Tribolium castaneum: one gene and its partners. The protein of the gene in region 3 binds, or shares a complex with, the protein of the main gene of each other region. Links are inferred from orthologs where the notes say so. Each region holds a gene or a part of one and is shown on either strand. Other genes may lie near its edges.

Region 1 (4,357 bases), on a different chromosome or scaffold from region 3:
TTAATCGTGGGTTGGCTTTATCTGTAAAAGCTTGAAAGCAATCAAGAAAATATTGCCAGTCTATCCACGAAAATACTTATTTACACTTTATGCGTTCGGCTTAAAAACAGACATGAACACTGTTATCTAGGGTTTTTTATACCTAGGAAAACCTTATCTGTTATCAAAGTCGTAAATTTATTGCTACCGAATTAGGATGAAAGGTGCAACAATGATCTTACTTAAAATAGCATATAAACAAGCGTAAATGTAAAAAAAAGTAAGTCCAAAGTTAAATTATATCCACTACCATCTAAATTATGTAAAAAATCCATACAGTAATCATTTACGTAAAAACACTAGAAACTGATGCAATGTGAAAACCTAATCGCACGAATGAATTCAACTAACCACCGGTTAAAAATATCTCGATATAATTTTTAAGCCTGTTTCGTTTATCGACGATAATGTATAAAAGTTGAGGTTGTTAAAAGTTATAAAGCTTGAAACTTTGAAACCGTTGCGTGCCTTCGTGGATGATGTATCGCAAAGATTAAGGACTGTAGTAACGCAAAAAGCCGTTATTTCGCAGTATGAAAGAACCTTTTGCCCTTTAACAAAAGGAATTAATTTTACGCGTTAAAGCAACTGAAGTCATAACGCGTTTTTACATCCAAGAATGGGCCAAAAAAGTTGTCACAAACAGGATTCCCAATTCAAGCAGAAATAACAAACACGACAGTAACTCCTGAAGCTTTTTATGTAAATAAATAATCAAACACGTGTGCCCCAAACATGGTCTTGGATTGTAATGTCCCAGCGATTTTGATTGGGAAAAATCGTGATCGCAGACTGGCAGTGTCTCAACTCAGGTTCAAGGATACCTCAACAGGTTAATGGGAAGATCAGATTTATGATAGGTATTATCTGCCATGTCGCACTAGTTCCATTAGGAATTTTATTGACGGGATATCAAAGAACAAACGTTTGTTAAGAACGTAGCAATCAATAGCGATGCTAATCTGATAGCGACAGATATGTATATTTTATGGGGCCACTATTAATTAAAAATTAATGCAATTGCCGATAGCCACGGTCAAGATAATTAGAAGTAGACGTTTTTTGTCCTGTGACTAGAATCATAATTATCTCCGCTGTTTTAATGAGCTCGTCTTCAATAAAGCAATTTGAATAATCATTATCGATAATAAAGTGAAACGTACTAAAAAACGGAAAAGTAGTTTTTAAGAACTCTTAAGTTATACATAAAATAAACTGGATGTGGAAAATGCGCAGACGCGTGGTAAATATTGAGCAAAACTTGAAAAACCATTCATCTTCAAAATAGCCGGGCGCGGTGGACAGTGGACACACTGTATAGTACAGTAACACTTCGTTAATCCGAAGGTGATTCGGACTACAAAAAAATTCGGATTACCAGTAGCAACATAGTAATTATGTTTACAATCAGAAGAAACGTGGAAGCTTTAGTAAGCACACAAGTATAAAAATAGTTAGTAGTGGAAATTAATAACTCCCTTGAAATAATAATGATGTAGATTAATCCAATTACAGGGACAGGACAAGAAAGTGTTTAAATCGACTAGTTTTGTTACTGGCGTTGATAACACTCGATAATTTATCTAATAATTATGATTTTTGTGTTAATCTAAAAACCTATTCGGACGAGAAAAGCTTCGGACTATTGAGATATTGCTGTACCTATTAAGAGAAAAAGGGGTGACTGAAGGTGGGGTCTGAGAACCGGTTTCCGACAAAACAATCTAAAATATTTAACTTACAAGAGGTAAAAAGCTCGGTTTTTCTTCAATGACGCAACCTTATGAGTTTAACTGCTTTTGTGATCCAATAAAATTCACGAAACCATTACAAATGCGTGGCGATACTGATCTACCTCCACACAAACACGCGATAATTATGGTCAAGATAAATTAGAAACAAAAACAGAAGTAGTCGAAAATAGGCAAAGACATGCAAGAAAGATGAAAGAGATGAATGAATTGTGCAATTACCCCGAGATAAAAATTCGATCAATCGTTCGAAAACTTAGGAATAGATGTAAACAAATCCGTCTTATCTTTAACGAACTACAAACAAATTAATTTAGGGGGGAACGAGTGGAATACCTGGAGCGGTTCCTGGCTGTTCGGCGATTTGAAAATCTTCATGGGCTGCCCTGCCACCGAGGTCACAATGCCACTTATGGGCTTTCCACTGGGCTGGACCACCTTAATCATCTGCCCTGTTACAGAAAAAACGAATAAAACACGTGCACTGAACCCGCTTTTCCTCCCACATCGAGGCGGTTTCCCCCGAAACTCGGTCCTTTCCCGCCCAGCCCCCCAACCGGCAACTGTTTGCCCCCGCACCACTTCGTTGTGGGCCCCCGTTTTGGAAAAACCCCCGAACCCTTTAAAAATTACCATTGGCTCCCTGGATCACCCAGTTGGTTGTGCTGTTCTGCTGGGTCATTTTCCCTCTCGTGCGAAACACTCACTCGCCGCCCCTTTAGCACATTTCCTCAAAAACGGGACACTGTCGAAAAAGCACCGGTTTTTAAATCCGAGCTCCTCTCCATCCAACTCCAACAAAAATGGCGACTGTAACTAGGCGATATTTTGGAATTGAAATAGGCGGACCCCGCGCACCACGAATTCGGTTTAAACAACTCGCGAAGTTTCCTCGAATATCGCAATTTGCTAATTTCGCGCTTTTTAACTGCTTGCTTGCGATACAACACTTGGGGGTGTTTTTGAAGATGAGCTATTTCGTGCAAGGAAAGCCACTACCAGCTTGGCGGCGGGTACAAAGGCATCGCTCCCATTGGCTGGATTCCTTCACGTGGGACACGCTGCTCCTAGTTCGGGCAAGCGGCACGAGGGAGCGATGCGTTCGAAATATTTTGGCGCCTTTTTGCCTTGCGGCCCCCGCACGGGGCGCACGAGGCCCTGACACCGGGCAAATGCCCCGGAAAAAACACCCAGGGATGCAGTTTCAATAATACGCGGCTGTCAGGAAAGGTGCACCCACCGAACAGGCCATCGACAGAAACGTGCAAGACAGAACCTTAAATTATTAGAAAGGCAGTATTCGCTAGGTGTCGCTACTGCAAAAATACTATTTTGCACTATAATGACGAAATAGTCAGTAAATACGGTAAACACAAATGTAAAAGAATAATTATAAAATACTATTTATTACCTGTTTCGAAACCATAAAAATGCCAACATCACATTTTCTCTCAAAATTTGTTGTAATGGGTCAATTCACGACGGTATGCGTGTGGATATGGTAAATGTAATGTAGTTTTTCGACCTGTTATCTTCTTATAGATCTTAATACTAATTGTTCATACTCTTCTGACTGAATTTTTAGTCATCATAGCATGAATAGCAAAGGAAAGAAGCTCATACCCACACGCAAACCGTTATGAATTGACCCCATCAATATTTTGTAATTTTTGTTTTTATTTTTTAAAGCAAAAACCAAAAAAATACACGTTTTTAAGTAGAATATTTTTTTGGGGATTTTTTTTTTAAATCCAAATCTGTCATTGCCTTTTTCAAGACGTTCTTGATGTTAGAGTTACGACACTCAACTTTAGCCATATTTGATACTTGCATTTTTTAAAAGTTTTTTTATTTCTGCTAACAATTCGATGTATCACATAATGATCAGCAATTTTCGTAAAAATGCTTTTTCTCCATTTTGATCAGCATGTAATATTTGATCATATTTTGTGATACATCGTTGAAATCAGAAATAAAAACGACAAACGGACACCCTGTATTTATAAATATGTTTATTGCTGATTGTTTTTTACAGCCGTAAAACTATTTTTTTGTATTCTTATATTGCATATGAAATATAGATTTGTCGAACATGTAACATATAAAGAACAGTTTATTGAAAAGCTAAAGCGGCTTCAGAGGAATAAAAGTGCCGAATCAATTTTAGTAGAAACGAAAATTTAAACATTTTAAAACAACAATGAAAATTGTTGCTAAATACAAAAATTATGTAAAAATAAATACATTTCTGAAAATGAAAATGTGTCCTGGGTGTCGATTCTAAACCAATACTTCGACTCGAAAAGTGTTTTGAATGCTTCTGTTTATGATTTTTTAGATTTGACTGATTCTGCCGATGTCTGTTTCTAGAGATGTCCTGTTCTGTCGCTAATTTTTTGTTGAACACCACCTCTATTATATACGTGAATTTTTCTAGATCAGTTCGCGTCCTCAATAAACCGCGTTATTGGACGTCGTGAATGCAAATTTCGCGTGTTTATAAATAATTTAAGCGGATTTTATTGAAATCGCAATCAGTCGGTTCGAGCGGTTGGTATCGCTGTCAA
Region 2 (3,652 bases), on a different chromosome or scaffold from region 3:
TTTGCTTACATTATGCACTAAGTGGTAATTTTCCGCCAAAGCTTGAATAACTTCAGTTAACAAATTATTTTGTTTAATTCGGAGCTTATCTTATTTTCAAACAATAATAAATTGTATCCACCTCTACTGTGTTTGTTTTCTTGTTTGTGTTTGTTTGTGTACACCATGTGCGCTTGCCGACAACGGTCTTATATTACAGGAATACATTGTTGAAGTTTTATCCATAATTGGGTAACAGCTTAATCCATTATTCCGCGTCTTAAAAAAGTGCATTAATTCCTTTTGTTTTAAAAATGACTTGGCACTTTTCAGTGTTATTCTTCCGTCAAACAAGACTGATCTTTTGCACCTGCCACAAAGTTTTACCTGTGGAAAACAATATATTAGCCAGAAAATTCGATCAATGATATCAAAATATATGAATTTCTATTTTTATAAATAATAATGCCTTCGAGGAAGGAAGCTCAAGCTTTGGCTGTTATTCCGACCACGACATACCTGCCAAGGCCATCCCGTCGAAATTCCGTGCCAATAAAAACAGGAAAAAAACTTTGAATTTGCCCATAACGGTCGGAACTGTGCCAAACTAGTTTTTTTTAATCTCTCAATTCGGAGCCGTTGTTACTACACCATTATTCATGGGGCCTCGTTGTGGGAGTGCCTAAATCTGAATGGGCTCTTGAACTTGCGTCAAGGTGAATCTTCACCCCGCGCCCCCGCTCACGTAACAATTTTTTTTCGTGTGTGTATAATTAAGCCACGATAAAGCGTAATTCAACTGGTTTGTTTTGGACGGTACTGTTCTTATCCAGTCCGGGCACACCTTACTTTGTAATCTGAGGCGGTCTTCAGGGCCACGTTAGCCACGATATGATGATCGTTCAACCCTCCCGGCCCCGACTTGATGATTTTAATTCAAGCTTGTGCGGCTTCCCACGCTTTTCTTTTGCGAGACAAGATCGAATCGTAAATCAACGAGTACAAGACAATTGCGGGGGACATTTTCAAACGCGCTGCTTTATAGCCCCCTCGGGCTGCTGTACTTACGTAATTTGCACATTTACATGCTTTATGGAGGAATTTGGCCGCACACAAAGGAACGGACACACTTCAAACACGATTTGAGTAAACACGACCTGTAATGAAGACAACCTGAAACGGTTACTAACGGTCATTACCGAAAGTAATTTGAATCGGACATACACGAACTCAGCTCAAATTGAGTTAACATTTGTTCGTTAATTTTACAGTTTTTGATTACGTTTGTTCATAAGCATTAATCATTCATTCATTTTGCAATAAATGATGCTTGTTGCACGTGACAGTTGTTTAAAATAACGAGTTTTGATTGGCTCGTTTTGTTGACAGTTTAGCGTTGTCTAGGCAACACCAATCAGGATGAAAAATTTGAATTTAAATCAATAGCGTAAGAAACGGTTTTATCCACCTGAGATTCCGTAAAAATTAGCAAAAATTGTATTCGATTAAATAAACGCATATTACAATGGTATTTGATTTTGCATTTTTATTTGTAAATAAATAATTTTTCAAATAACTGCCACAATTCTTCGTCTCTTGAGTTTTTCTTGAGATCAAAATGATTTTCAAATTAAGGAATCAGAAAATGTTGTAGAAATATAGTTATAAACGTAAAAAACGGCTAGTGTTTATGTAATGAACTAATGACGAGTAATTATTGCTTAGGAAATTTTTGTATTAATTTACATAAACGTTAAAAAATATTGCTGCAAGCATAAAGTCAAGCCTTTGTTTTCTTCGGTTATTTTATTTATATAAAGAAAAATAAGGAGCAGATTGAACAAAGCAAATAAGGAAAAAGAAAATTTAAAAAATATTGGAACAAATGATAAGCAATTTGCAAATTTTTTAAGACAGTTAGCTTGCCTCATACCTATAGGGACGAAATGCCGAATCGTATACCTGTCTCTTTCTTTCATTAATTGTAACAGTATTGTGTTTTCCCCCTGACTATAATTTGATCCAGTACAAAAGAATCGCCACATAACAAATATTTCACCGCTAGTTCCATCCATCTGATACAGGACATGAGGCTTCCAAAGCATTATTTTTCACAGCTGTGAGTTCCCAACGGGTGGGGGGTTCAAATTGACCACTTTTATTTGACTAAAGAATTGATTGTAATCCAAACCTTTTTACCAACGATGGCAATCAAAATTTTTCTCATAAATTCTGCTCCACTTTGGGGGCATTCTCACACGTTTTCGTGAAAACCAGGCGATGCGTTACGACCATATGGCCCTAAATGGCGCAAATTGACCCTCAAAGCATCACCATATGTGTTTTGTGAACTATGACTTTTGTGGGAACACGTTACGTAATCAATTAAAGAAAAAAAAACGGAAGTTGTAATTCTGTTTCTGTGTTTCCAGGAAGACGAAAAAGTGATCGAATTGGTGAATAAATACGGAGCGAAGAAATGGACCTTGATTGCGCGTCACCTGAAGGGCCGTATCGGCAAACAGTGTCGGGAGCGATGGCACAACCACCTCAACCCCAAAATAAAAAAGAGCGCTTGGACGGAGAACGAAGACACGATTATCTACCAAGCGCACAAGGTTTTGGGCAACCAGTGGGCCAAAATCGCCAAACTGTTGCCCGGAAGGACGGACAATGCCATCAAAAACCACTGGAACTCCACCATGCGGCGGAGGTACGAGACCGAGAACCGCCAAGACGGGGAGACGCGCCGTGGGAGAGCCAGAAAGAACCAAACAAAACAAGCAGACATTCTGGCCTTTCAGTACCAGAACCACCAAGTTGTGACCATTGATAATTGTGATAGTCGCAGTGTCAACCAGGATAATCTGATTATCAATGATGTGAGCACGCGGGATTGCGTTACGACCGGTTATTTTATTTTAATGTTAATTGCAGGAATGGACTTTGGAGACGTACGACCATGGAAGCAACCAGTCCAGCACAGGCGGTTTCTCTCTGACGGCCACCCCCAGTCCAGGTCCTCTGACCCCCAGCCATACGGTCGTCAGCTTTTCCTCCTCGCCTCCACCCTCCACGACCTCAGTTAAAGCAGATTTGCCATCATACAGCTACCTTGATGTAAATACGTACAACAACCAAACTAGTCCCGTGAAACTAACACCAATGACTGACGATTTTGACCTGAAATACTGTACCCCGAGTGGAATAAACCCACTGAGGGATTTCTCCGAAAGTCGCCACTTTATCAAGTCACGTAAGTTGGTCAAGTGTCAGAAAAACGTCATTTCTAGCTTGCTTGCAGGCCTGACACCGCCGAACCTCAACCAAAACACTTTAGTACCTGCTGAAAATATGACCCGAGCCTCCACTCCTCCCATCCTGCGACGGGGTGCCAAGTCGAGGCGAAGAAGGGAGAGTGAAGGCCAGGATATCATGTCGGACTGCGCTGAAGATCGGGTAAGAATCAAAGGACATCAAACCCAATTTCTAGCTAATTATGGTTATTCGTTGAATGGCCAGATCTATTTCATAACACAAAAACATAAACTAAAAATAATAAGAGAAATAGTTATAAACTGAACAATTGCATCTGATAAAGCAAAACTCTGTGCTATTGAAGGTAAAATAGATAGCGATGATAATTTGAAAATAATTAGATAATTATGTGCGA
Region 3 (4,244 bases):
ATCTAGTTTCATTTATTGACAAAATTGCAACAAATCTTAGTTTCCCACATAAATATGTATGGCGAAAAAGACCAAAGTAATGTCATTCCCTACCTTCATTTGTGATTTTTTTGGCCTGTTATTCTAGCGAATTAATGCGAATTACTATGAGTAAGTGGAAAAAAATCAAAGTGACGTAATATTCGATAACTTTATTGATAATCACTTGCTCTATTTGAGCGAAATTTCAACAGAAAAGTGAGAAGTGTGCTTAAAAGCAAAAATAATATATACCTAATTATAGGTAAAATAATAATTATGTGATATGTTCGGCATTTGTACTTCAAATTTTACAAAAAAAAAACGACCCAATTCTAGAAAAACTGATCAAAATAATTCACATTATTTTCGACCTTTCGCTCAAAATTCACGTCATTTCCGACGTATCAAATAATTTCTCATCTTGTTTTAACAAGTCACCGTAAGCCCACCGAAAGGAACGACAACTATCAAGATCATTCATTGGTCTTCTGACAAAGTTTTGCATATTTAAAATAAAAATCCGGTATTTCAAACGTAATTAAATTATTTTTGGCGTTTTAATGCAGTTTTACGAAAAAAGTAAAATCATCTTACACTTGTTTAATACTTACTTGTTTAATAATAAAAATACCGTAATTTTCTACGTAATAAAGAAATTGTTCAAAGTGTTTAACGAAATCATACAAACAACGAAATCATAATAAAGAAAATGTTCGGAGTGTTTAACGAAGTCATACAAAAGTGGTCATTTCACAGTGAGTTTCTCGCTTAGATTACTAATGATTTTTGGTCCTGTTGTAACCAATTTATGAGAAATAGGTATGTTTTTAATCAAAATGCTGAAGAAAGGCAAAAATGGATATTCGATGTCCACTGATAATCCTTTTTAAACCTATTTAAGCAAAATGTTAAATTGATTGAAACTAATAAATAAAACTAGAACTAAAAATGTCCAAAGAATATATAAATTTCAGAAAATTACCGAGTTATTAAAGCAATTGTGAAAAAAAAAACAAAGAAAATCACTCAAAACAAGAACAAAAAAGCCAAAATAAAATCATTTCCGATCTTCATTTTTGTTTTTTTTTTTTGACAAAAACAAAGGCAAAAGTAATATAAAACTAAGCAAGAAAAGTGAATTTTTACCTTAGAAATGTGTTTAAGTAGGTATTAAAAAAAGCAAACACATTCTTTGCCTTTATTCGATGAGATTTCTTAAAAAAATGCTTTTCATCTATAAAACGACTTTAAGTTAGCTGAATTATTCAGAGTAATACAATTTTCATCCTTTGTTGGAAACTTCTGACCGTATTAGAAGAAAATTTTACAACAAAATATTTAAGTAATTCTCGACATATAAAAAATGTTTCGAACAGTTTGCTTTAATACTTATACACCTCTTTGTATTTTACTAACCGTATTTGCAACGTTTTAAAAACATTTCAATAATGTTTTTCCCCTAGAACAGCACATTTTTCTCAGACAAATAGTGAACCGGTTGAGTTTAAATTAATTTAAATGAAACCAAAACGATGCTATGGAGCACTGATGCTCTGGGGGACTAAATTTTTGGTAAAAACATCGAGTTATTTTGTATCTCGTTTCGCCCCTTTGTCTTATTTTTAGAATACTCACCGTATTTGTGGAACGAGACTGTCATCACCCGGTCAGTGGTGTAAAAAGCCTCTTCGACACCGTCACCGTGGTGCACGTCAATATCGATGTACAACACGCGTTGGTGGTACTTCAACAGCTCCAAAATCCCCAGAACAATATCATTTACGTAGCAAAAGCCCGAAGCTTCGGATTTTTTCGCGTGATGCAAACCCCCGCCCCAATTGATGCAAATTTCGGACGCTTGCTTGTTCAATTTAACAGCTGCCGCCACTGAGCCCCCAGCTGAGAGTTGGCAGAATTCGTACAAACCGTCAAAGACAGGACAGTCCTCCCCTACATTAAACCTCTGCATTTGTTTGTTGTACTCAGACATGTTGTCAGGTCGGATGGATCTGAGAAATCGAATGTAGTCATCCGAGTGAAACTTGGTCATTTCTTCGGCAGTGGCTTTATGGGGGCGCTGGGAAAGTCAAAACTAAATAACACCAACAATTCATGGAAATTAAATACTCACATAAATCTCCATTTTTCTGTACAGACCATAATTGAGCAGCAAATTATGGGTCATCCTTATGCGGTGGGGCTTCATGGGGTGTCCTTGCCCATAATAGTAATTCCCAATATCGCCTAACAATTCAAAATTATCAGAATTGAATCAAAATTCACGATGGACTAATAACATTCGCCATCGTAACACCGTACAAAAAAGCGTCATCATCTCATCATAAACCAAGCTAACCAATCAGCACCGAGCAAAAATACCGCGACCGTAGTCTACCGTGAATTTCCAGGCTTACGGTTTCGAAAATCGTATTTACATGATAGCACGATACGACACAAAATTAAGCAAACGCATGCATTTTGTTGGCAAATTTCAAAAACAAACGCCCCAAAATGGTGGAATAATTCATGTTTGGCTGAAATTGGTGGCTACTTACTGTCGTAATAGTAACAAACACGTTTCCGACTGTGAGGTTGTGTGGCCATCTTGTACTGTAGAAAACTAAATTGTTTTTAATTACTTTGGCTTTAATTATTACAAATCACTGTTCACTTTGTAACAATTTGTTTAAATTATTAGAATTACGGCGGTAGCACAACACGCCGCTTTGCAAATGGCACCGTTGTTCCCGCAGCAAGGACGCCAACCTAGCACCGGTGGCGATTTAGTGTAAAGTTGAATTTCCCTACTAAAAAATAAACAGGGTGATTCTTTTCGTTTTTGCATTGTAATGCCACCATTAAGGCCGTAACAAAGCTTTCTTTTTCATTGTTGGAGTTGATTCTCCTAACTTAAAAAAACTCTCCTTACGTAGCGCCATCTCTTTTCTTTAGAAGAGTCCTTAAGACCATATCCACAGCTTCCTTGATTAACGAAGGGAAAGTCCCTTGACCCTTCATTAATCAAGAAAGCTGTGATTTTCAACCGAAGGGGTCCCAAAAACGTTGAAGACGGTTTTTTACCAATGTTCGAATAATGGAAAATTAAATAATACCTGAATCGTAGAAGATAATTCACCACAACTTTGTTCCTTAGAACTGTTTTTTCTAACTACACCGCTAATAATGCCACATTAACTAATGAACAAAAATCAGCTTTTCATACAAAAATTCTCATGAAAAAGGAAGCCTCTACTGTAAAAAACTTATTTATCGAAGAAAACAACAATTATATGTTATGAAGATTGGTTAGCAGTTTTCAGTAGAGCAAGTTCTAAATTCTTCTTTACACTTAGTTAGAAATAATTAAGGGGTTGCATTCCTAAACATTTTTCCCTTTACATTCGAAACTGAGAAATTCTTATTTCTTGCCTTTAAGTTTTTCAGGTTTTACTAAGATAATTTTACCACAAAAAAACAAAAGTTGTTTGGGCTTAATCTACATTTACTTGACGATATTTTAAAGCAAATACAATGTTTAACTATTAGTTTATCACAGAAACAACGAATATATTTTCAAAACTTTTAGTGAATATATTAAAAAAACAAGACGTGATAGACAAATGTGAGATATATTTTAGTTATTACGTTATTAGTGAGTGAGAAGAAAACAAAATCAGTATAAATTATTTCTTGGTAAAAGAAAAAATTTTTTGTAAACTAGTTTAATTATCATAACTAATCATAGGACCGGTTTATAAAAACGTCATTAATTTAATCAGTTATAAAATGCGTGATTAACTGATTACGTGACCAAATTGAAGTCATTTGGTTGGTTCATTCGCGTTGTTAACTTTTAACAACGAATTCAATTTTAACAGAGCCTTTTATAAACCGGCCCATAAATTTAAAAAAATTAATAATATTTGAGAGTTTAAAGCAGCGAAACCGCTTTAAACACAAATCTAGCTTTTTAGAAAGCAAATTTTTTTAAAATAAGATGAAATGTTGCACATTACGTGGTTTTGCTTTGTGTATTTAAGAATGTTTCTTAATAAAAAAAAATGTTGTTTAAACAGACTCTCATTGTTGGGTTTTCTATAGTTTTTTTGTCAGAAACAAGCATATTAATATTGATATTTTACACGAAATAGTCAAAAAAGGTTCAAATTAGACGTAATTCTTTTCTATTACACATTTTTGTTACCGATTTACTTTCTAAAAAA

Evidence for each region.
Region 1: HDAC1 (region 3) and Dp share a complex: the UniProt entries of both Drosophila melanogaster proteins name them as parts of the DREAM complex. The link is inferred for Tribolium castaneum from reciprocal best matches to the Drosophila melanogaster genes HDAC1 and Dp.
Region 2: HDAC1 (region 3) and Myb share a complex: the UniProt entries of both Drosophila melanogaster proteins name them as parts of the DREAM complex. The link is inferred for Tribolium castaneum from reciprocal best matches to the Drosophila melanogaster genes HDAC1 and Myb.

Annotation. Positions count from the first base shown.
Region 1 is NC_087398.1:7,907,942-7,912,298, reverse strand, and holds the start of Dp (transcription factor Dp-1), read right to left. Parts: upstream 2,823-4,357; 5' UTR 2,473-2,822; coding exon 2,424-2,472; exon of another isoform or gene 2,243-2,423; coding exon 2,127-2,242; exon of another isoform or gene 2,108-2,126; intron 260-2,107; exon of another isoform or gene 112-259; intron 1-111. UniProt on the Drosophila melanogaster protein: Component of the DREAM complex, a multiprotein complex that can both act as a transcription activator or repressor depending on the context. In follicle cells, the complex plays a central role in the site-specific DNA replication at the chorion loci.
Region 2 is NC_087396.1:14,744,936-14,748,587, forward strand, and holds part of Myb (myb-related protein B), read left to right. Parts: intron 1-56; exon of another isoform or gene 57-366; intron 367-498; exon of another isoform or gene 499-1,315; intron 1,316-2,411; coding exon 2,412-2,861; intron 2,862-2,916; coding exon 2,917-3,235; intron 3,236-3,283; coding exon 3,284-3,438; intron 3,439-3,652. UniProt on the Drosophila melanogaster protein: DNA-binding protein that specifically recognizes the sequence 5'-YAAC[GT]G-3'. Component of the DREAM complex, a multiprotein complex that can both act as a transcription activator or repressor depending on the context.
Region 3 is NC_087394.1:10,698,015-10,702,258, reverse strand, and holds the start of HDAC1 (histone deacetylase HDAC1), read right to left. Parts: upstream 2,809-4,244; 5' UTR 2,626-2,808; coding exon 2,577-2,625; intron 2,266-2,576; coding exon 2,153-2,265; intron 2,099-2,152; coding exon 1,657-2,098; intron 1-1,656. UniProt on the Drosophila melanogaster protein: Catalyzes the deacetylation of lysine residues on the N-terminal part of the core histones (H2A, H2B, H3 and H4).